Coturnix japonica: one gene and its partners. The protein of the gene in region 1 purifies or fractionates together with the protein of each later gene. This does not show direct contact. Links are inferred from orthologs where the notes say so. Each region holds a gene or a part of one and is shown in the gene's direction. Other genes may lie near its edges.

What was found. The genes of interacting proteins can lie anywhere in the genome.
Region 2: the proteins of DLD (region 1) and OGDH purify together in Homo sapiens (affinity purification with mass spectrometry; 3 studies listed by BioGRID and IntAct, counting the BioPlex papers as one, with this or other methods). This does not show direct contact. The link is inferred for Coturnix japonica from reciprocal best matches to the Homo sapiens genes DLD and OGDH.
Region 3: the proteins of DLD (region 1) and PDHB purify together in Homo sapiens (affinity purification with mass spectrometry; 3 studies listed by BioGRID and IntAct, counting the BioPlex papers as one, with this or other methods). This does not show direct contact. The link is inferred for Coturnix japonica from reciprocal best matches to the Homo sapiens genes DLD and PDHB.

What each region holds. Positions count from the first base shown.
Region 1 is NC_029516.1:13,333,278-13,340,855, forward strand, and holds the start of DLD (dihydrolipoyl dehydrogenase, mitochondrial), read left to right. Parts: upstream 1-3,607; 5' UTR 3,608-3,695; coding exon 3,696-3,734; intron 3,735-3,915; coding exon 3,916-3,991; intron 3,992-5,129; coding exon 5,130-5,209; intron 5,210-6,347; coding exon 6,348-6,416; intron 6,417-7,578. UniProt on the Homo sapiens protein: Lipoamide dehydrogenase is a component of the glycine cleavage system as well as an E3 component of three alpha-ketoacid dehydrogenase complexes (pyruvate-, alpha-ketoglutarate-, and branched-chain amino acid-dehydrogenase complex).
Region 2 is NC_029537.1:135,913-143,414, reverse strand, and holds the start of OGDH (2-oxoglutarate dehydrogenase, mitochondrial), read left to right. Parts: upstream 1-3,426; 5' UTR 3,427-3,541; intron 3,542-3,552; exon of another isoform or gene 3,553-3,827; coding exon of another isoform or gene 3,828-4,040; intron 4,041-4,119; coding exon of another isoform or gene 4,120-4,265; intron 4,266-4,464; coding exon of another isoform or gene 4,465-4,635; intron 4,636-4,724; coding exon of another isoform or gene 4,725-4,954; intron 4,955-5,036; coding exon of another isoform or gene 5,037-5,380; exon of another isoform or gene 5,381-7,098; intron 7,099-7,202; exon of another isoform or gene 7,203-7,309; intron 7,310-7,502. Other genes in the region: CKAP2L (cytoskeleton-associated protein 2-like), read right to left, coding at 105-1,192, 1,518-1,584, 2,149-2,215, 2,752-2,767; interleukin-1 beta, read right to left, coding at 3,828-4,040, 4,120-4,265, 4,465-4,635, 4,725-4,954, 5,037-5,380. UniProt on the Homo sapiens protein: 2-oxoglutarate dehydrogenase (E1o) component of the 2-oxoglutarate dehydrogenase complex (OGDHC). Participates in the first step, rate limiting for the overall conversion of 2-oxoglutarate to succinyl-CoA and CO(2) catalyzed by the whole OGDHC.
Region 3 is NC_029527.1:9,334,488-9,342,009, reverse strand, and holds the start of PDHB (pyruvate dehydrogenase E1 component subunit beta, mitochondrial), read left to right. Parts: upstream 1-3,446; 5' UTR 3,447-3,510; coding exon 3,511-3,609; intron 3,610-3,730; coding exon 3,731-3,838; intron 3,839-3,911; coding exon 3,912-3,974; intron 3,975-4,051; coding exon 4,052-4,087; intron 4,088-4,173; coding exon 4,174-4,459; intron 4,460-5,045; coding exon 5,046-5,156; intron 5,157-5,754; coding exon 5,755-5,846; intron 5,847-6,298; coding exon 6,299-6,440; intron 6,441-6,790; coding exon 6,791-6,936; 3' UTR 6,937-7,522. UniProt on the Homo sapiens protein: The pyruvate dehydrogenase complex catalyzes the overall conversion of pyruvate to acetyl-CoA and CO(2), and thereby links the glycolytic pathway to the tricarboxylic cycle.

The sequences.
Region 1 (7,578 bases):
CATGGTCAGTTTGATGTCCTCCGGGATGCCCAGAGCTGTTTCTCAGCAGGCATAGCCCAGCCTACACTGCAGCAGAGTCAGTGCCTCCCAGGAGCACGACTGTGTTACCAATGTCATAGTGTTCTGTACTAACAGACTGCCACACAGCATTGCAAAAAGCAATGTTAATATATCTAATCTCTATCAATTATGGCTTTTAAAGGGCAAACTGCATTTTAAGGCAGAGCATGCACCTTGATTTTCACGGTGTCAGTTTGTTTGTGGAGCTAGATCAGGGCTTTCCCTGGTCCAGGTGCAATACAGCACTTACAGTGTAAAAGTGACAGTGATCTTAGGTGCAGGAAATGCACTACGTTTATCACGCCGTTATCACTGAGAAAGCCTCAAGATGAATGGTAATATTGTACTTCAGAGAGAACTTTGACTTTCGTAAAAGAAAGATTATCTAAAAATGGAAATGTCTTGCTACAGAGGCTTAATATTCTCCTGCAGAAAAAAAATACACCTGATTCCTGGGGTCAAATTTCCTGTGAATCACAAAATCTCTGTGTGGATTAGAGGGACTGGGAGATCAGGACAAAAGCAAAGCTATTCCCTGGACAGAAGTGTGCCATTTCTTCATTGTAAGATGATTTAGCTGGGAAGTATTGGTAATGGTTGGACTAGATGATCTTCTAGGTCTTTTCCAACCTTGATAATTCTGTGATTCTGTGATAATATCAGTGAATTTTACAGGTATTTAAAAATACAAAGTGTTCCTGGGTTTGATTTTTATTAAAGACTTGAAAAATGAAACGGGAGCTTAAAACATATGAAAGTACTTTTTCTTTATTTCTTTTAATGTGAAAACTAACTGGCACTTTATGACCAGCTCTGGTATGATCTGTCTGTGAAGGAGTTTAAATGGGCAATGACAAATTCAGTACAGGAAATGGAAAGAATCACTGATGTATCATCTTTTCCTAATTCCCATTTCAGATCTTTGAATGATGGCCACTGCACAATTCTGTACTGCAGAGAATCATTTATTTCTCCTACATAACTTAATAGAAATGTCATAGGCTTTTTCTCATGTTCAGACGTAGCTTCCGTATGCTGCATCCGGCTTCGTCTGCAGTCTTTGCTCATAGCTATCAGGTCACTGGTTTTCAGAACTGAATAAAGCACAGGGAACCAAATCTCACAAGGTACACGAACTTACTGGTATGCAAAGCTATTCACTGAGGCTGCAAAATAATCCCCAAGAGGAAGTCAGATGGAAAGAAATCTTAGCAAAGGACTTCAGAGCCAGAGCTCCCACTTTCTTCCTGGTCTAATAAAAGTGAAGCAAACTGACGTCTAAGGTTGGCACTATCCCTTCTTGTTTGCAGAGTGGTAGCAGGGTTGTACACCTGTGACGCTGCAGGGAAGGACCCAGCCTAACAACTCAAGATGCCCACCCAGCTCCTGAGTTTTCTATGGCTATGGAGGCATTCCCTCTTTAATGCAACAAGTTTTTTCTTGCCAGCTTTGTCTATCTCAAAGTCAGCTGTTTAATGTAGGTGATCTGCATTCCTTTTGTGCTCAGCAGAGAGCACAGCTGTGGCCAACCTTAGCACGACAACCCTTGACACCCACCTTGGGGTGAGATGAATAAACCTCTCAAACCACAAGCCTTCCTGCACTTCCCATAGGTGCCTTTACTTGCCAAAACAGCTGTCTGACTTCTTGATAACAACAGTGGGGTGAAACACATCTACTCTGATCATTCACTTTTGCAGTATAATAAAAGCAGAGGCAGGAATCCTTGAAGGCCCCAAGCAAGATTGTGTTGGCCTTAGTGCATGCATATTAGTTAGGCAGACAGTATCTCCTGGGGACTTATTTTCAAAGACACCTGCTGACCATGCAGGGAATTGAGGTACTTGCTTTAGGAAGATGGCTTCAGTAGGTGCCTAACATTGAAATGCAAAGTGTCACTCCCTCAAGTGAGGCAGCTGAAGTGCAGCTTCCATAACCGGGGTAGGGTGCTGGGTGTTTAACCAGGGTATGCAAGGAGGTCATATCAAGGTTACAGCTTGGAACCATGACCTTTTGTGCAAGCACCATTTGGTGGGAGAGAACCCAAATGGGTTCTGCCAGAAGATCCAGATCTGGAGCATTATGGGGAGACTGAGACTCCTGTCTAGCTCCCCTCTAACCCCAAAATGCAGCAATTCTGTGCTCCTGATGCCTGCTCACCTACGTGTGTTCCCCTAAGCTCCAGCAACAAAGGAATGTCCCAAGCACTTAACTCTCCTGCAGGCAGCTGGGAGCTACAGATCTCCGTAAAATACCAGCAGAACAGAGCACATTCCAGGATTCCTTATATGCTTTTGGGACAGCTGTCCTGCATCCTCTTTGAAACCGAGGTATGCTGCTATTTTGCACCCTATTCCTCCCATATTGCCCACACATTGTCAGCTCTTTGCTTGGTGCAGAACCTCACGTAGAGCAACTCACTGTGGCCTTGGACTTGTTTTAGCTTTCTTACCTGTCACCTTGCTTCAATTCTCCAGTGACAGGAAGTTCTGAGCAGATCAACAGGTGAAACAGCCCAAAAAGCAACACACCATCTTGCTTTGGGCACAGCTGGAAAACCAAACACCACCTTTGTTTCTTTCTGGATACACTTTCTCCTCCAGAGGAGGGCCACGAAGATGATCAGGGGACTGGAGCACCTCCCCTATGAGGACAGGCTGAGGGAGTTGGGTTTGTTCAGCCTGGAGAAGAGAAGGTTGCGGGGTGACCTCATTGCAGCCTTTCAATACCTGAAGGGAACTTACTCCCAGGAGGGGAGTAAACTCTTGGAAAGGGCTGACAATAGCAGGACACGGGGAAATGGTTTTAAGTTAAAAGAGGGNGGGAAATGGTTTTAAGTTAAAAGAGGGAAGATTTAGGTTGGATGTTAGGGGGAAGTTCTTCACTAGGAGAATGGTTAGGCCCTGGAACAGGCTGCCCAGGGAGGTTGTGGATGCCCCGTCCTTGGAGGTGTTCAAGGCCGGGTTGGACGGGACCCTGGGCAACCTGATCTATGGGGTCTCTATGGGGATCTATGGGGTCTCTATGGGGCTCTATGGGGTCTCTATGGGGATCTATGGGGTCTCCTGGGCAACCTGATCTAGTAAATGTGTATGTTTGGTGGCCCTGCCAGGCAGGGGGGTTGGAACTACATGATCCTTGAGGTCCCTTCCAACCCGGGTCACTCTGTGATTCTGTGATTATGTTATTACTTTACTATGGTGCCCACTCTTAACCAAAAAGAGGAGCACAACAAAAGGATTTACCAGAGATGGTAGGAACCACCTGACAACATATTGTGTGTTCAATATGACTAAATATCCATATATTTCTCACAGCAGGAAGCTGACAGCTGCACAGCTGTTAACAGGACGATCGCTCCACTATCCTACAGGTTGTTCTAAATAACTGAAATGCTTTATAATACCGAAACCCGGCATTACGCTGCCTCCCTCTCAGATCCCCACAGCAGCGCGATGCTGCCGCCCCGCGGGCCGCCCTGCCACGCTCAGGTAACAGCAGAGCGCCCCCTGCCGACCATCCCTTCATTTACACCCAGCCCCATCGCAGCGGCCCATTGCGGCTCCCGTACAGCCGCCCGTTCCCGTTGCGCCTGCGTAGTTCCGCGGAGTCCTTGGGCCGTGCAGGCGGTCGCCATGCAGCGCTGGGGCCGCGTCTCCTGCGCGCTCGCTCGGGTACGGCGCTGTGCGAATAACGAGGGGCGGGCGGGGGGAACCGGAGGGCTCCGTGCCATTGGGTTGGGCTTTGCCGTGCTTTGCCGTGCTTCTCCGCTTTCACACCGTGGCCTCGCCGCTGGGCCGCGTTCCTGTTTTCTTCAAGGTTCAGCTTTTAAAGCCGTGGCTTGTTCTGTTTTAGAGGAGCCATTTTGATCGAGTTCATCATGGTCTCCAGGGGGTGTGTGCCGTGCCGCAGAGGACCTACGCCGATCAAGGTAAATCACAGAATCACATAGTGACCCGGGTTGGAAGGGACCTCAAGGATCATGTAGTTCCAACCCCCCTGCCTGGCAGGGCCACCAAACATACACCTTTACTAGATCAGGTTGCCCAGGGCCCCGTCCAGCCTGGTCTTGAACACCTCCAAGGACGGCTGAACCTGCCCTGCTGCTGTGTGGAGATGTCGGTTGGTCTGTACAGCTGCCTGAGGGGAGGTTGTGGTGAGGTGGGGAATGGCCTCTGCTCCCACATAACAGCGATAGGGTGACAGGAATGGACATAAATTGCACCACGGGAGGCTCAGGTTGGATATTAGGAAATGTTTCTTTGGAAGAGTGATGAGGCCCCGGCACAGCTGCCCATGGAGATGTGGGTGCCCCATCCCTGGAGGTGCTCAGGGCTGGGTTGGATGGGGCCCTGGGCAGCCTGAGCTGGTGGGGGGCAGCCAGCCCATGGCAGGAGCCTGGGGCTGAATGGGCTTTAAGGTTCCTTACAACCTCACCAATTTCTATGATAAATTCTTCTTTGTCAGATTTACTGTCAAAATAAAGGTATAATTAGAAGCTGAATTTCATAATGTAAGAACAGTGGCAGTGATTAATATTGCTGAGGAGGTTATGATTGCTAGAAACAAATGTACAAAGTTCACAGCTGCTTCTGTGTTCATAATCAATAAGGGTTACACAGAAGTTTACTTCAGCCATATTTCCTGCATTATAATCTGATGATCCCATGGCATGCACTGCTCATGTATATTTTGTGACAAGCAACAGAAGAAATTTTGTTGGTAAAATGCTTAAATAAACTGCTCAGACATCTGGGGTTACAGGTTTTATAGCAGGAAGGATGGGTCAGATGCATCCCATCTGCTTAATTTCATTTTACATTATTTTCCCTGTGAAATTTAAGACTTTATATTGTCAAAAAACCTCTATACAACCTTTGCTTTTGTCTGGAAAGTCATTTTGTGAAGTGTAATTTCTCTAGTATTAAATTGCATAATTTTTAATAGCTTTTTTATTACTTTCTCTCCATTATTTGGCATTTCCAAATATGAATAAGTTCAGGAATAAATTGGTCCTGCAGTAAAGTCTTAATTGCTGAAAAGAGTAACTGTAATGTTCCCTGTTGCAGTTGATGCCGATGTCACAGTTATTGGATCTGGCCCGGGAGGTTATGTTGCTGCAATCAAAGCAGCTCAGCTTGGCTTTAAGGTAAGAACTGACCTTTGGAGACCTTCTGATCACTCTTCAACCTCTCCACTACATAAAACATGCACTGATTCTGTTGTGGGTAAGTACCAAAACAGTGCTCAGCTGATGTGATTTCCTAGTGCCATTGGAGGAGTTTGATGGCCATTTGGGAGTTTAGAAGTGGGAAATAGTATGCTCATAAGTTTCATTTTCACTCATGAGTGAGACATCAGCAGCATTGCTGTTTCTCTTTAACCCAAGACCAGTTTACTCTCCTGGCACTGCGTCATTCTTTCATGAAGTACTTGCTAAGTGTACTTGCGCATGCTCTGTTGGCCGGTATATCCCAGTGCCTCTGAAGTAAGACAGCAGGACTTCGTGAAAAAACCAAGGTGATGAGACCACCTGGCAAGGACAGAAGCTCCTGTTTACAAGAAGAGTTCAGTGCAATGTTGGAACAAGTCCAGCTTGCATGTAGCCTTCGCCCATATAGATTTTCAGGGCTTGGCTTGTCGAGGCCTTGAGCCATCTGAGACAGCTTTGATGCTGTGCTTCAAGAAGGAAACTTGGCTAGATGGCTTCCAGAGAAGGTCCCTTCAGCCTCATTTTTCTGTAGTTAAGAGTGTTGTCCCTCATTGGTTATTCCTCCAACAGCTGGAATTCAGTGATGCCTCTGAGTATATTTTAACCTAATGTGTAACAGTACCAGAATAGAGTTTTTTGAAAGTCAGTTTTACATCTGCTTTTGACTCTAGTGAAGTTAATCTAAAGTGGATGAGTCAAAGCCTTACCAGGTAAAGGTGAGAGCAGTCTAGTGCTGTTTGGTCCATAGAGCAGCTGTTAAAGCACTTGGATCATTTTATGTTTGTGTGCTTAAAACAGGAAGAGGGGTAGTTGGGGATCAACTGATCTCCTTGTGGTTATTTGATTTGATGTTGAGTCCTCATGGTACTGTTACTGCTGCTTACCACAAAAGCAGCAAGTTAAATGACAACAGGCTTTCATCTGGGAAGTCACTTCTCTGCACATTTGTTTCCCTGGAGCATAAACCAAGAGGTTCTTACTTGGTGCTTATGTTCTGTGCTTGTCACTGAGGAAGGGACATCTCTCTTTGCTGCCAAAAGGTTTCCAATGCTTTCCCCTCCTTTTTTCCCTTCAGACTGTTTGTGTAGAAAAAAATGAAACATTGGGTGGAACCTGTCTGAATGTTGGATGTATTCCTTCAAAGGTAAGGGTACATTGTTGATCATAACTTCATTAATAACTATAGCTCCTACATGCATCAATTTACAAACCCCTACTTATCTTTTTCCAAGATGGACATACTTTGTTTAGAAAAATAACTTGCAACCAAATGATTTCCATGAATAAAAGGAATTCAAAGGATTGCATTACTTATTAATTCAGTGGGAATGTCTTGTTTACAAACTGTTTTGTGGGGTTTCTTAAGTGAGAGGAAGAGGGATAAAAGCAGGAGGTGTATGCAGATGCATCTTCTCCCCAGTGAGCTGGTAAGTCTGTATGGTAACCACTAACTAAATACAGCAATTAAATGCTATTTAAATACAGTTTAAGGTGGTTTTGTCTTAGGGTCTGCTGTGTGGAATTCTCAGTCCTTTCAAGTCAATGCTCAATACACTTGTTGTTTTCCACACAGAGGGTGGTGACGCACTGGAACAGGTTGCCCAGTGAAGCTGTGGGTGCCCCATCCCTGGAAGCATTCAAGGCCAGGCTGGATGTGGCACTGGGCAGCCTGGTCTGATGGTTGGAGACCCTGCACATAGCAGGGGGGTTGAAACCAGATGATCTTTGAGGTCCTTTTCAACCCAGACCATTCTGTGATTCTATGATCCCTTTTTATATTGCAGTTTCTAATCAAGTTATAGTTTGGAGATTCTGTATTTCAAGCTGCTGATCTTTACATGCACTTAGAAAGGAACTGTTCTGATTTTATTTTTGAATTGTGATGATTGAATTGTGAATTCAGTGACCTGAATTGGCTTTAAACGGTCTGGCTGTACAGTTGTAACAACTTCAGCACAACTCAGCTACAGCATTGAACTGATATTTGCACAGACTAAAATTTAACAGTGATTTCAGTATAGATTCTTTCCTCCTCCAGTTTTTCCATATCCTCCCAGTATTTTTGTTGACAAATTTTCTGAGCTAATGAAGAAATTCTACTGAATGATAGCCATCTATTGTTTTCCTTTGCTTAAAGCCTGTCCCTACCTTTTTATTCTCAGTGCTATCATTTCCACTTTCTCCAGTGAAAAGAGCAGAAAGGGGTAGGAATGATCTTAACTACTCTCTATTTTTGTTATATGTATTTTCTCAAGTTACACCTCAGTAAGAGCTTCTGCACGTAGTTGGCGTATTTGAAATACACC
Region 2 (7,502 bases), on another chromosome or scaffold:
CAGCAGCACACAGACCGTGCAGCTGGGCCCTGCAGCTGACTCATATGGTCCAGCACCTCACTCTGCTGTCCCCAGGAGGACAGTGAGCCATGGATGTCACTTACCTACGATCCTCCGGTGTTGGGGTCTTGGGGACACGGCCAGCATGCACTCCATGCTTCTGCGGCAGCTCTGCTTTATGCACCTCCCTCCTGCTCCCAAATCCACCCTGATTTCCTGGATTTCTGGAGCTGTTGGTGCTGGGAAGAGGCTGTTTCTGGGGGGCTCCCACTCGGGATGTTGCTGTGTGTCCTGAAGGTGCTGCCTTCACGTCCTTCCTGTCTGCTCCCCCCCTCACTGTGGGTCTTTGCTGCTGCACCGTGGTGCACAGCGTCAGGCCGGGTGTCCTGGTGGGTCCATTTGTGGTGCCCTGGGGCCGGCTGGAGGCTGGGGGCTTTGCAGGAGCTGTGTTGGAGTGCTTAAGAGTTCCCATCCGAGACGTGCCGAGCTTCCCCACAGGTTCCCTTGCTGCATTGTTTTTCTCCTGTTTTACAGCTGGCTTTTTATGTAGCAAATGTGTGGAATTAGCAAGTAACTGAGGGGGCTGCAATGGCCGAGTTGTGCCGCTGGGTTTTTGGGATGCGCCCTTTGAGCCTGGCAGGGGATTCCTGGATTTGTCCTGATTCAGCATTTCCTTAGTGTGGCAGCCATTAATTCTGTCCTTTGGGCCCTTGACAGTCCTTGACACAGCGCCTGAGCTCTGCCCACGAGCCAAGGCTCTCTCGATCCCCACACTGTTCCCATTAGACTGAATAGTGTTGCTGGGCACGGGGTTTGTAGCTGCTCGTGCTGGTAAGTTCTCTTTGTCGGAGCCAAGCCATCGCTGCCGGCTCTCATCCAGGGAGCAAGGTGCCCCGGGCACAGACTGCCCACTTCCAGCCTCCTCCGGCCCTCCAGGGTTTAGGTGACAAGAGGCAGAAGGTGGGACCTTCCCTCTGGGCTGTGCAGGGGGGTTTGTGCTCGGAACGAGCCCTGCAGGCAGCTCTGTGCCCTTCCCCAGCTGCCGTGGCCGTACCACTCCTACTCTCTGAGACGCACGTGGATGCTGCCGCAGCGTAGCACACCCAGCTGGCTGTGCAGGTTTGGCTGCAAGTTTGCCATCCTTCCAGGTGCCCTTTGCTACGTGTTGGACGATGCCCTTGTTCCTGCCAAGCTGCAGAGACAAAGAACATCAGGCAGAGCCCAGAGCAGAGCTCAGCTCAGTCACACCCCGACACTCAGCCCCACCAGCCCAAGGGATGCACACAAAGCCCAGTGCGGGGAGACAAGCCCAATGTAACACCCAGCACTGAGACAGAGGATGATTCTCTCATTATTTGCTCTGAAAATTAATTGCTTGTCTCAGGGCCGGATGTTTAACAACGTGTTACTACCACCCACCTGGGGTCAGGAACTCACCGTCCTGCTCTGTGTTCCCCCATCTGCATGGATGCACTTCAAGCACAAAACCAGACTGAAAAGAGTCCATTTCTACTTACATGTTCTGGTTCAGAAACTGCTTTTAAAAGTGGATCCAGGTGATTAGTCTGGTCCTTTAAACAGGCCCTGCAGAAACAAGGTGAAAGAGCTCAAATGCTTCTGGTTGCTTCAGCCACAGCAGCTGATGAGAAGCGTTTGGAAGCCTGAAAGCTTCAAGGAAGAACCACGTCGTGTTTCTTTCCCTTCCGTGTGGCAACAGAAAAAGTGACAGCAAAGAGTGTTACACAACACACAACTTCCACTGACGGGAAAAGCCATCAAAGCGCTTCCTGCAGCTGACGGGGCCGGGCAGGACATGATGGGAACCCACCTACCAGATCAGGTGTGGTAACGAGCTTCCTCCTGATTGCTTTAAATGGGCTGAAGGTGTCCCTTCCTTATTACCATAAAACAAAGCTGCACAGCTGGCAATGCAACCAAAGGCTGCTCTGCAAACCCAAAGCCTGGGATGGGAAGGTTTTGTGGAGACACCCAGCATTAAAGAGCAGGAAATAACAACTCAACCACGGCTGTGTTGATGCTACCAGGAGCTGCCCCAGGCTCAGTCTGGCACAGGGCTGCTCCCATTAGCACACACTGCAGAGGTGGCAGATGCTGGTGATGCAGATACAGCTGCACAGCCCAACTTACTTGGTGCTGGTGCATTTCGGCTTCCTCCTGGCCTCCAGGTACTCCTGCAGCTTTCTTCTCCGCTCTTCTGCAAAGAAATGGGAGGAGAACATGGAGCACACAGCGCTGGGAATGGGGGGTATGGCCGTCCTGGAGCTCAGCGCTGCTCACAGGCACCAACAGCACCCAGCACATACAGAGTGATGCCCATAGCAGCACTTAGACACACGGGGTGCTCCTATAACAGCACTTAGACACACGGGGTGCTCCCATAGCAGCACTTAGAGCACATGAGGTGCTCCTATAGCAGCAATTAAAGCTCTATGGAGATCCTATAGGGCAGGGCAGGTGCTGCCAATGCAATGGGGCACCCGCAGCTCCTGCTGTCCGTCCCACCCGACCCCATTCCCACCCTGTAGCACCCTCCATTCCGGTCTGGACCCGGATCCATCCCATATCCCATACCCCATACCCCATATCCCATACCCCATATCCCATATCCCATACCCCATATCCCATACCCCATACCCCATATCCCATATCCCATACCCCATATCCCATACCTCATACCCCATATCCCATATCCCACACCCCATACCCCATACCCCATATCCCATCCCTCACCTTGTGCCGCCATCATCTCAACCCCCCCAACCTCCGCCACAACCGCCGCCCCGCGCTCAGCGGCCGCCGCCGCTTTCAAACCGACCAATGGGGAGCGCCGCAGTGAGGGGGCGTGGTGGGCACGGGGAGCTGTGATTGGGTGAAGTCAGAGGATGGGGCGGGGCCAACGGAGACACATGGCCGATAAGTGTAGGGAAGGGGATGGGGGGGGAGTGGAGCATGGGGGTTTTGGGAAGGGGGGTCGTTGATGGGTCTGGAAGGGGGTCCTGGGGGACATAAAGGGGGTCTGGAGGGGCATATGTGGGTCTGGGAAGGGGAGTTTCTGGGGGCATAGGGGTCCTGGGCGGGGACATCATGGGTTTGGGAAGCGGGCTCGTTGGGGGGACATAATGGGGCTTTTTGGGAGGGAACATATTGGGCTGGGGGACCATAGACGGGGGTCGATGGTCTGGGGAGGGGGTCTAGGGGACATAGGGGGCTCTGGGAGGGGGGTCTGGAAGGGACATCTATGGGTCTGGGATGGGGGGTCTGGAAGGGGGGGTCTGGGGGACATAGGGGGGTCTGAGGGCGTTTCTAAGAGGTTCTAATGGTCTGCAGGGGGTTCTGGTTCTGATGGGGGCTTTGTGAGGCAATGGGGTTGGCTGTTAAGGGGCAGTAGAGCTCGGAGGGTCGTGGGCATCCCGAGGGCAGCAGTCGCTGTCTTTGCCCCCCAGGTACCCGCCGCTGTGTGGGCAACGCTCCTCCAGCCTGAACCACCCCGACGACCCCCAGAGGGACCCGGTGAGACACGGTGAGACACAGTGAGCCACACATCCACAGGGAGCCTTTATTTGTGAGAGACAATAAATAGCTCCACCCCAACGCGGGGGGTGGGACAACAACGTTGTGATCAAATATAAAAAATATATAAGTTAAAAGCAACAGGTAACGAAACATAACGGTGTGACTCGGGCCCACGGGGCCCAGAGCGGCTATTCCACGTGGAACAGCATGGAGGGGCAGCGGGTTGTACTCGGTACATACAGCACGAAACCAGCCACGGGCCGGTTTGGGTTTGGTTGGGTTGCAGGGGGCACTTAGTGCCCGCTGAGCTTGTAGGTGGCGATGTTGACCTGGTCGGGTTGGTTGGTGATGCCCACGGGCTGCCGGGGCTGCAGGGACGTGCAGATGAACCAGCCGGGGAAGGCGGCCGACTCGAAGCGCGTGGTGCCCTCGGCCGGGCTGTCCAGGCGGTAGAAGATGAAGCGGGTCAGCTCCACGCTGTCAATATCCCGCAGCACATCGGCTTCCTGCCATACGGACACGGGGGGGTCAGCGGGTGCTGGTGGTATCAGAGTGGGATATGAGGATGGGATGGGGGCTGCTCACCTCCAGCTGCAGGGTGGGCTCAGCGCCGCTCAGCACACACGACATGTACAGCTTGTAGCCCTTGATGCCCAGCGCCACCGGCATCTGCCCGGCTCCAGAGCTGCCCCGTGGGCCACGGGGACGGTACAGAGCGATATTGAGCCTCACTGTGGGGAGAAGGGATGGGTCAGTGGGTGTGATGGGGGGCAGGGGGTAGGGAGAGGGATAGGGGTCAGGAATGGGGATAGGGGGTAGGTATAGGGACAGGGATAGGGGACAGGGACAGGGGTAGGGGGTAGGGACAGGGATAGAGATAGGGGGTAGGGATAGGGGTAGGGGATGGGGATGGGGATGTGGTGCCCTCACCTTTCTGGCTGGAGGAAGGCCCCTGGAGGTGCAGGGCCACCAGCTGTGTGGGTGACTCCAGCACGAAGCACTTCTGGTTGATGTCGAAGATGTCGAAGGACTGTGAGCGGGTGTAGCGGAAGGCGGGCGCCCCGGCGTAGCTGCTCTCCAGCCGCTGGAAGGTGACGGGCTCTATGGGGGGCAGGAGGGCAGGGAGGTCAGCGGGTACCAACAACAGCCCAGCCACCATCCCTCCTCCTTGTCCAGCACCGTGCTCCTACCAAACACCTCCTCCAGGAGGGCGCTCAGGTCGCTGTCATTGAAGTCCCTGCTCCTGGGCCTCCGCAGCAGTTTGGTCATGGCCACCACCAGCACGGCAGCGTGCCGAAAGCTCCGGGCGCCGCGTCCCTTCCTCACCGTCACCTGCACGTCCACTGAGCCGCCGGGTCCTCCCGTCCGCACCTTCTGCTTGCAGAGGCAGGAGGGGCCGTAGAAGGTCTCATCGCTGAGGCTGGAAGGCAAAGCAGACGTTGAGCTTTGAGCAACGTGAAGCTCAGACCCACCCTGAGCCCCCAGCTCATCTCAGCGCTCACCTGCTGCTCTCCAGCACGTCCAGGTCGGGAACAAACGCCATCTCTGTGCTCTCAATGGGAGCTGAGGGTGAGGCTGCCTGCAGTGCTGTGGGTGCTGTGGGTGCTCCTGCTCCTCCTGCTGCTGCTGCTGCTGCCTTTGGAGCTGTGAGCGCTGCTGCGGAGCGCTGGGTTTTGAAGGGTTGCTGGAAGGAAGCGGCACCCAGCGGGATTTCCACGTTTCGCAACGGTCGGAGATTGCCGAGTTTCGTTATCTGCTGCAACGCGGCACCGGCGCCGCCTCCGTGCTGCTGGCTGCGGGGCAATGCGGGGCAATGCAGGGCAATGCGGGGTAATGCGGGGCCCATGGGGGCTTTGGGGTCACTGTAGAGCTCAGAGCGTGCTTTCTGCTTTGGGGCTCAGAGGGGCTGTTTTGGGGTCAGTAGGAGACGCAGAGCTGCTGTGATTTGGGGTCACAATGGGGCACAGTTTGGGGTTGGTATGGGATGCGATAGAGCCGTGCTTATTGTAGAGCTGAGTGTGCTTTTCACCCATGCTTTGGGGTCAGAGCGGTGTTTGTCAGGATGATGCTTTGGGGTCAATGTGGGGCTCAGTGGAGCCGCCCTTCAGAGCTGTTGTGGACCACACAGCAGATGATGCGTTGGGATCAGTGTGGGGCCCAGCAGGGCGTTGCTTTGGGGCCATGCACAGAGTGGGGCAATGCTCGGGGTCTGGCTGACACATTGGGGCTGCCCCATGGCCGCCAGTGCCCCCGATGACGCCAGCTCTCGTCAGGGCTGCAGCGAGGCCAGATTCCCCTATAGGGGCCGGTGGTGTAAGTGCTGCCGCTGCCCCATTTCCCCACCCAGCCCCACTGTTTCCTGCCTGACCCCACACGTCCCTCTCCCTCTGATTGCTGTCTTAGGGATGTTGTCCACTTGGGCTTCCTGCCGCTCAGACCCCACATCCCCATTGCCGTCCTATAGGGCACCACATCCAGCCCTGGTGGCTGCCCCGTGGTTGCGCCACGCTGGACGGGGATGTGCGTGTGTGGGGTGTGTGGGGCGGCCGCGTGTTTTCCTGCAGCCGTTTCACTTCCCAAATGGTGTCACTGTCCCCACAGGACGTGACTCAGGGCTGGACCCTCACGACCCTCCCACCACCACGTCTCCGTTCCCAGGATGTCCATCCCCTGTGGGCAGCGTCCCCACGCTGGGTTTCATCATCGTGGACGTCCCCGTGGGGGGATGATCCCATAACGGATGTTCCCCACACCCGGAGGGCTCTGCACCACAATGGCCATCCACAATGTGCATCCATTGTGTGCTGCAGACCCCAATGGTTGGATGGCCCTATAGATGGATGGATGGATGTCCCTATGGATGAATGTCCCTATGGATGATGTCCCCATGGTTGTATGTCCCTACGGATGGATGTCCCTATAGATGGATGGATATCCCTATAGATGTATGTCCCTATGGATGGATGTATGGCCCCATGGATGGATGGATGTCCCTACAGATGGATGTCTGTCCCTATGGATGATGCCCCTGTAGATGGATGTCCCTACGGATGGATGTCTCTATGGATGGATGGATGTCCCTATAGATGGATGGATATCCCTATAGATATATGTCCCTATGGATGGATGTATAGCCCCATGGATGGATGGATGTCCCTATAGATGGATGGATGTCCCCATGGATGGCTGTCCCTACAGATGGATGTCCTTATGGATAGATGTCCCCATGGTTGTATGTCCCTATGGATGGATGTCCCCATGGATGGATGGATGTCCCTATAAGTGGGTGTCCCTATGGATGTATGGCCCTATAGATGGCTGGCTGTCCCTACATCTGGCTGTCCCCATGTATGTCCCTACAGCTGTCTGTCCCTATGTATATCCCCATGGATGGATGGCTGTCCTTATGGATGGATGTCCCCACGGTTGTATGTCCCTATGGGTGGATGGCTGTCCCCATCTATGTCCCTATAGATGTATGTCCCCATGTATGTCCCTATAGCTGTATGTCCCTATAGCTGTATGTCCCTATAGATGTATGTCCCTATAGCTGTATGTCCCTATAGATGTATGTCCCTATAGATGTATGTCCCCATCTATGTCCCTATGGCCGCCCCCCCCCCCCGTTCTCAGCGCGGTTCTTTGGGGGCGTGTCCGTCGTTGTGGGCGGGGCGACGCGGTGACGTCAGAGCGGGGCGTGGCGACGCGGGGCGGCAGCCGGCGGTTGGGGGCCGCTGTCAGAGTCGGGGCCGCGAGCGGCAGCGCGGAGCGGCAGGTACCGGGATGGGGGACGGGGCGGGTCGGTCCGGTCCGGTTCGGTTCGGTTCGGTCTGGTCCGGGGCCGGGCGGGTCGGGGTTGTTGTGTTGGGGGGGGCGGCCCGAACCGGGTCCGTGTCCTTGGCGCCGCCGCCAGGGCGCCCCAGGGCGGGGGAGGGGGCGGGGCCGCCGCGGGGACGGACGGTCCGCTC
Region 3 (7,522 bases), on another chromosome or scaffold:
CACTGGCAATCACAATACAAGAGATCAGCAATCTTTTTATAAACCTAACTGCATCTTTACACTCAGAATATTCCAAAGACAGGTAGATGCCCATCAGTGACTTGAGCACATGGAATGACACTTTGTTATTCTGGCCAATATCTAAGCCCCCAGTACAGATTAATCAAGACTTCACGCCTGTTCAGGAGAAGAAACAGACTACGCTGCATTCCCATTTGATGGCATGAACTCATCTTTGATCACAGCACTGTATGTAGCAGCACAGTGAATAATTTACGAGAGCAATTAGCAGAAACGAACCCAGCCCTCAACATAGAATTGGCAGCAAGAAGCCTCACTGACCTTTGTGTAAGAGTCCAGACTCCCACACAGACCTTGCAGTGCAACAAGAGACACAGAGCACACAGATGCTACGAAGAGGCCATCCCAAAACACCTGGATGTGATCACAGTGACCTGCTGCTTCCTTCGCCAGCCTGGCAGCACCAAATTTCCAGACAACTTCAAAGGCAAAAATGGCCTTGTTCAGGTACAACCAGAGATAAGCACCAGCAAACCACATCATAACAAGGGTGGGGATACGGGCCCTTCACAGTTTGCCTTTTAACAGTGCTCTAAATCCTTCCTGAATGAAAGTCGGTGATGTAGAAGCACATAGAACTTTATCTGTGCTCCAGGACAGACAGCCTCAAGCCAGCACCAGCCTACAACACACAACATGCACACCCAGGTACAGAACCTCACCAGCACAGCTACTTGTGTCCAGGCAGTAAGGAACAGGTGACGTGGAGATGCATCCCAAGACAAACTGCCTTTAAAGGCCATAAGAAATGTTCACCTAAAACAATCCTCAGCCCGACCAACTTCTGGCACCATTTAAGCCAAAAGGGATATGCCACCATAGCCCAAGTATGCCCAGAACTAGGAAGGAACAATAAGAGAAAAGAACCTTCGAGGAAAAACACTGAAGCCATCATTTTGTAATAAACACACCAAATTGGATACCTGCATTTATAGAACACTCACTCTTACTTAATATTTTATGACTCAGAAGATTACAAGGCTATTTACTAGCAACGTTACTGCAACAGGTAGTCCCATTAACTTCAGCAGGGCTTCTCCTCCCAGGTTGCTGCTAACATGCAACTATTTTAAAAGCTGAAATTCAAAGAAAGCAAATGAGAGCGGGCTGAACATCTGCATCTGTGAACACACATCCAGGACAGAGGCAGGGGATGTCAGCAGCACTGCCAAGTGTTTGCACTGCTGGGACTGAATACAGCACACTTGGCCCTGGGCACAGACTGCACACACTGCACTTGGATAGAACACAGCAGTTGTACCATCCTATGCAGGCAGATGAAGGAGGAGCAGAAACGCACCTAGCAGTCACAAGTCAAAAGGCACACGGCATCTGAGCTGCTCTGAATGCTTCTCAGCTACCTTGCTCAAAGGGAAGGACACAAACTGTTTACGGTCTACACAAACTGTTTAGTCTCAATATGTACTGAAGACTCCAAGGTCAATATAAAGTTGACAGGACTTCTACTAAGCCAGTCTGGTATTTATACAGATAAATACCTGCGGTTCATGCTGCTCTCCCACTTAGCGAGCTCACTGTCTCTGACATTAAGATCTCCAAAGATGAGAAAATGAAACTCCTGCTCTCAGTAGCCACACTGTCAATGGACAGCCTCTCTAATCCTGAGCCAGTCTTAAAATGTGAAGGCAAGTTTTTATTGCAAATCATTACCAGTGACTCACCTGAATCGACAGTCCTTCAGCCAGTGTAATTAACGACTGCCTTCCACAGAACTGCAGAGCAAGGCAATAGTCTGCAGAGCAAACCCAAGGCCATACAGTGCTGAGCTACCCCAAGCAACAAACTATGCTATGGAAACAACCGCTTACCAAAACTTCTGGTAATACCACAGCTTGGCATTGCTAAAGGATGAATCCCTCACCTACACACGTCAAGTTTACAATGATTAACACAGTTTATTAGAACGTAACTTCTCCTTATTTTCTCTGCTTCTTTTGGTTAATATTTCAGCCTTCACCTCAGGCAAGAGAGCAAAACACCAACAGTGGCCACTCAGCATTCTCGCTCCTTTATGCCTAATTGCTTCACTATGAATTCCAAGCTCTGAAAGTTTCTTTCCCACACCTGAGGAACAATACAACATCTCAGTTTGGGACTGGGTTCTGAAGCTCCATCTGCCAGATGCTTGAAAATCCCACATCACCATTTGACCCTCCTCATGCAGGAGTCCAAGGACTGCAACTGCACCTGCCCTGCTCCTGCTGGCACCACACAGTCACTCTGCACAGTGTCAGTAGTTGGTTTTACCCACGTATCTTGTTCCATGGCACCAGCAGGCAGCTGTGTGCATGGGGAAACATCTCCCAGCAGTGCTGGATGAAGGCAGGTGTCAGGAGCACATCCTGCACAGCCAACAGTGCTGACACAGGGACCAAGCAGCAGGATGGTGACAAGAATCGTCCCTTCAAACCCAGGCCCACAGGAGGAGTCGGGAACAGCCGCTTTCCATCCCAGAGGAACGCACGGAAGGAAATCTCCCCCTGAGATCGCAATGATTCAGCAAAGGATGCTGGACACGACTGCACCGCTCCACCCGCTGCCCCCAAGTGCCCATCGCCTGGATACCGCTCCCGGCCCCAGCCCGGCCCTCCTGCAGCGAGGGGCAGCCCCTGTTCGAACTGAGGGCCGGGTACAGCCTCACAACATCCCAAACGGGGCCCGGCAGCCCCCAGCCCCAGGTACCCGCAGTCCCACAGGGGGCCCAGCCCCGTTTCCCCCCCCCCAGTGCAGCCTCCGGCCGCTCACAGCCCCGTGTTTCCCTCCCACCCCCCACAGCAGCACAGCACAGCACAGCACAGCATAGCACAGCACAGCACAGCACAGCACAGCACAGCACAGCACAGCATAGCATAGCATAGCATAGCACAGCCCGGCCCGGCCCGGCCCGGCCCCGCCCCTCCTCACACTCACAGTCGCAGGTCCCGGCGCTGAAGCAGAGCCCGGCGATGATGGGGGCGACTGAACCGGGAGCGAAGCAGCCGCCGAGGAGGGAGGAGCGGGGGCGGGTTCTGCCGCGATCCCCTCCCCGTGTCTCCGCCCGCTCCGCTCGGGTGAGGGAGGGAAGCCGCCTCCTTTCACCTCAGGGCCGACAGTGGGGACACCTCGCTCCGCCCCACGCCTCCTTGGCGGGCAGTTGTGTCACTGAAGAGGGGCACACAGATGAAGGGGGGCGGTGGGGGCGGTGCGGTCCCGGCGGCAGGAGGCGATGCCGCGTTGATCGCGCCCCGAGCGGCGCCATGCGAGCAGCACCGAGCGCGGCACGGCCTCACCGCCACCACAGCGCGAGACCGGAAGTGACGCATAAAAAGAGCGCTGGCTGCCAGCGCCAGTTCTCGCGAGAGTTCAGGCAGGGGCCGAGGTAGCGCGGGGGCCGGGCCGTTGCCCGGTGCTATAGAGGACACGGCCAAGATGGCGGCGGCGGCGGGAGCGCTGCGGCTGCTGGTGCCGCGAGGCCGCCTTCTCTCGCCACGCAGAGGCTTCCACCTCTCCGCGCCCGCCGCCATCCAGGTACGGGCCGTGAGGATGGAGCTGGGGCGGGGGGTTCATCCGTACGGGCGGGGTGGTGCGGGTGAGCCGAGGGACGGCCGCCCTGCCCTGCCCAGCACTGCCCGGCTGCCGCTTCCCGCAGGTGACGGTGCGGGACGCGCTGAACCAGGCGCTGGACGAGGAGCTGGAGCGGGATGAGCGTGTGTTCATGCTGGGCGAGGAGGTGGCACAGTACGACGGTGCCTACAAGGTGAGGGAGGGGGGGCCCTGCCGGGGCCGCAGTGCGGGCTGTGCGGGGGCTGACACCGCTCCGATCCTTTCAGATCTCCAGGGGGCTGTGGAAGAAATACGGGGACAAGAGGATCATCGACACCCCCATCTCCGAGGTACGGCGCGGGGCTCCCCCCACAGGGCTCCCCGTGGGCCGAGCTGTGGCGCTTAATGCTGTTTGCTCCTCTTCCAGATGGGCTTCGCAGGAATCGCCGTTGGTGCCGCAATGGTCAGTACGCCCTCAGTCCTAATGAACTGATGTACAAAACGAGCTGCTTTGGTGTTAAAACATATCGTATGGTCTAACTCTGATAGGCGGGGTTGAGGCCGGTGTGTGAATTCATGACGTTCAACTTCTCCATGCAAGCAATCGACCAGGTTATCAACTCTGCTGCCAAGACGTGCTACATGTCTGCAGGAACCATCGCCGTCCCCATCGTGTTCCGTGGCCCCAACGGGGCTTCAGCTGGCGTTGCCGCACAGCACTCGCAGTGCTTCGCTGCCTGGTACGGGCACTGCCCGGGGCTGAAGGTTGTCAGTCCTTGGAGCTCAGAAGATGCCAAGGGGCTGCTGAAGGCATCGATCCGGGACGATAATCCAGGTGAGCACAGTCAGATGACGGCAGTATTTAACTCTCATTTCTGAATGCTTCTTTTCCTCTCCCACCTCATGTAAAAAGATAAAAAGTTTATTCAGCACTTAAGCATTTTGTGCTGTTCTAACCTGCTTGCAGGTACTCATCTAGAAGCTTTGAAAGACACATTTATGAACTCATTGTAAAGGCATTATAAAGGATGAAGATGAGTCAGGAGAAGTACCTGCAGATACAGTACAGTGTAACTCATTTTTTAGAGTTGATGAAGCTTAGATGATAAATTCAGAATCTCATTAAGCAAAATCAGGGCAACCTTCATCTTTCTTTCTCACAAGCACACGTGCAAAATGTAAGGCTTTTTCTGAAGCTAGCAGTTCTACAGAAACATTTCTTAGCCACAGCCTTTGCAGTTTTCCCTTGATCTACCTTTAGAGATGAACTGAAGACAGTATTTAAACTAACTGCGTAGTGAAGTTGATTGACTTTTAATTGTTTGTATTGGTCTTGCAAATATTCTTCTGCGGTACCGTTAATGATAAGTACAGCCTGTTCCTGCAGAGGTATGAATTAATCCAAGTATGTTTTGTTCTAGTTGTGGTGCTGGAAAGTGAATTGCTGTACGGCGTTCCCTTTGAGATGTCAGAACAGGCACAGTCAAAGGACTTTGTTATTCCAATTGGAAAGGCCAAAATAGAAAGGGAAGGTAAGCTGAGAACACAGTGTATGTACCTGTATGTATCCTTACTAACCAAGCTGCCTGGGGACTCTTAGCTGTTCAAAATACTGCTATCATGGGGCACAGGAACACATTTAAATTGTTAAATACTCAAATATGATTTATCCTGTATTGTACTCAATTGTTTGTTCTCAGTTTCTCACTTAAAACTGTACCTCCCTAGAAGGTTTCTTTCTCAGCCTAAGGATGGTGTTGGTGATGTGCAGGGAAGTTCTCACCTTACTATGTCATTTTTGTCCAAAATGCAGAAGATATCATTGTAATTTTTCAGCCTGTTTATAATTTACCAATGAATAGCATGAAAGCGTAAAAAAAAAAATAATCCGAAAAGTATTGAAAACATTATTTAGATCCCTGAATCAAAAGATTATCCTCACATAGTCCTGCTGCCATTCTTCACAGGTATAGAAATACTTAACATTTCATGTAGATGTAAGGAACTTAAATTTGCATGAGAATACTGATGCTACCTACAAAAGAGCCCAAGAAAAATGCTTTTTTGTGTGTGTGGTGGGTTTTTTTTTTTCTGCATTTGTTTCTTCTTTAAAACTTGTTTCTGTTCCAGGAACTCATGTTACATTAGTGGCGCACTCTAGGCCTGTTGGGCACTGTTTGGAAGCAGCTTCTATCCTGGCCAAAGAAGGTGTTGAGTGTGAGGTGTGTGGGGTTTCTGTTGCTTTTCTCTGTACAAGGAAAAAGGCAGAGGGTCACCTTGTTCAGGCTCTGTAGAACATCACTTTATAAACTCCAAGCTTTTGTAAGTGCCTTAACTGCCAGAGTATGTGCATTTCTTGTTTCTGCGTTTGACCTTTTCATCACAAAATCAAGTCAGAACTACCAGAGACTTTCAGATTGATCTGCCTGTACAATGAGCAGAACAATGACAGTATGTAGCAGCATGATTATATACAGTGAGACTCATTAAGCATTTTCCATGCTTGATGAGCCACCAAAAGCCATTCTGAAGCATCTGTCAGGATAAGAAGTAATTTCATTAAGTCTTCTTGTCAAAGTCAGAATAGATTGAAGTGCTAAAGGACACAGTGCCCAAACAGCAGTAAAGGTCACGATCAGATCACAGCAAAACTCACTCAGTGCCTTTTTTTAAGGTTATAAATCTGCGCACCATTAGACCAATGGATATTGAAACAGTGGAAGCCAGCGTTGCAAAGACAAACCATCTTGTAACTGTAGAGGGAGGCTGGCCACAGTTTGGAGTAGGAGCTGAAATCTGCGCCAGGATCATGGAAGGTACCGACTTCTGCAATCTGCACCTTGATCTAAATCCTCATGACTTCTTGATAATGCCAGATTTGATAAAGCCCAAATTGGAAGTCCTGTGTCTGAGGAGCTTAACAGCTGTCCTGTTCTAGACACATTCAAATGGTCAATCCAGATAGTCTTGTGGTATAATTCTTATCCCAGAAACTGAAGCAAGATGGTAACTTTTTGTTTATCACCATGCGCTGTAGTTTAGACAGGCAGGAACAGCTGTCTCTGGTACTGCAGAACAAAGTTATTTGTAAGCGTATTAAGATTCAGAAACTGAATTGACAGCAAACCAGATTGTGCAACAACTTGACCACCATTTTCTGTTTCAGGATCCGCCTTCAACTACTTGGATGCTCCAGCTGTGCGTGTTACAGGTGCAGACGTTCCTATGCCTTATGCAAAAATTTTAGAAGATAACTGCATACCTCAAGTGAAGGATATAATATTTGCAGTGAAGAAAACTTTGAATCTCTAAGTTGTAAATATTGTTTTAAAGTCCTGCTTTAAAAAGTATTAATGGTGTAGGGCAACATGTATGCATCACTTTGTTGTATAGCTACATTAACTTTTGTACAGTAAAGTACAACAGTCTCCCAGAATATTTATATGGCTGCAATGGGGTCTGGTGGGGTTTCCCTCTAAGCCACTGCATTTAAGTAACCATGTGGTAATGCTCATCTCTAAGGTAGCTTGTACTTCAGCAGTGCAGGTGGGTTAGGATCTGTCTGTATGCCCTAAGTTCAGAGTGAAGAAGAGGTTTTCCACTTCTGCTCATCCTGTAATGATCAGACTAGCTGTGCTAAACTGACTGTGATGGTGGTTGAGTGCAGAACAGTAGTGAGTAATGAGGGCCACCCTGAGTCTAGTCCTAGGAGCCTACATTTGCAAGGCTTACTAATGGCAAATGATAAAACCAGAGCTGAGTGAAGCCTTGCTTTTTAATTCAACAGCTTAACAAATACCTGTATAAAATGGCTTCGGAAGCCTATAGTATGGGTTAAGAGATGGCTCGTGTACTTTCTTCAAAGAGTGCTCTGGTCATACAGGAAAGCTGCCCAAGA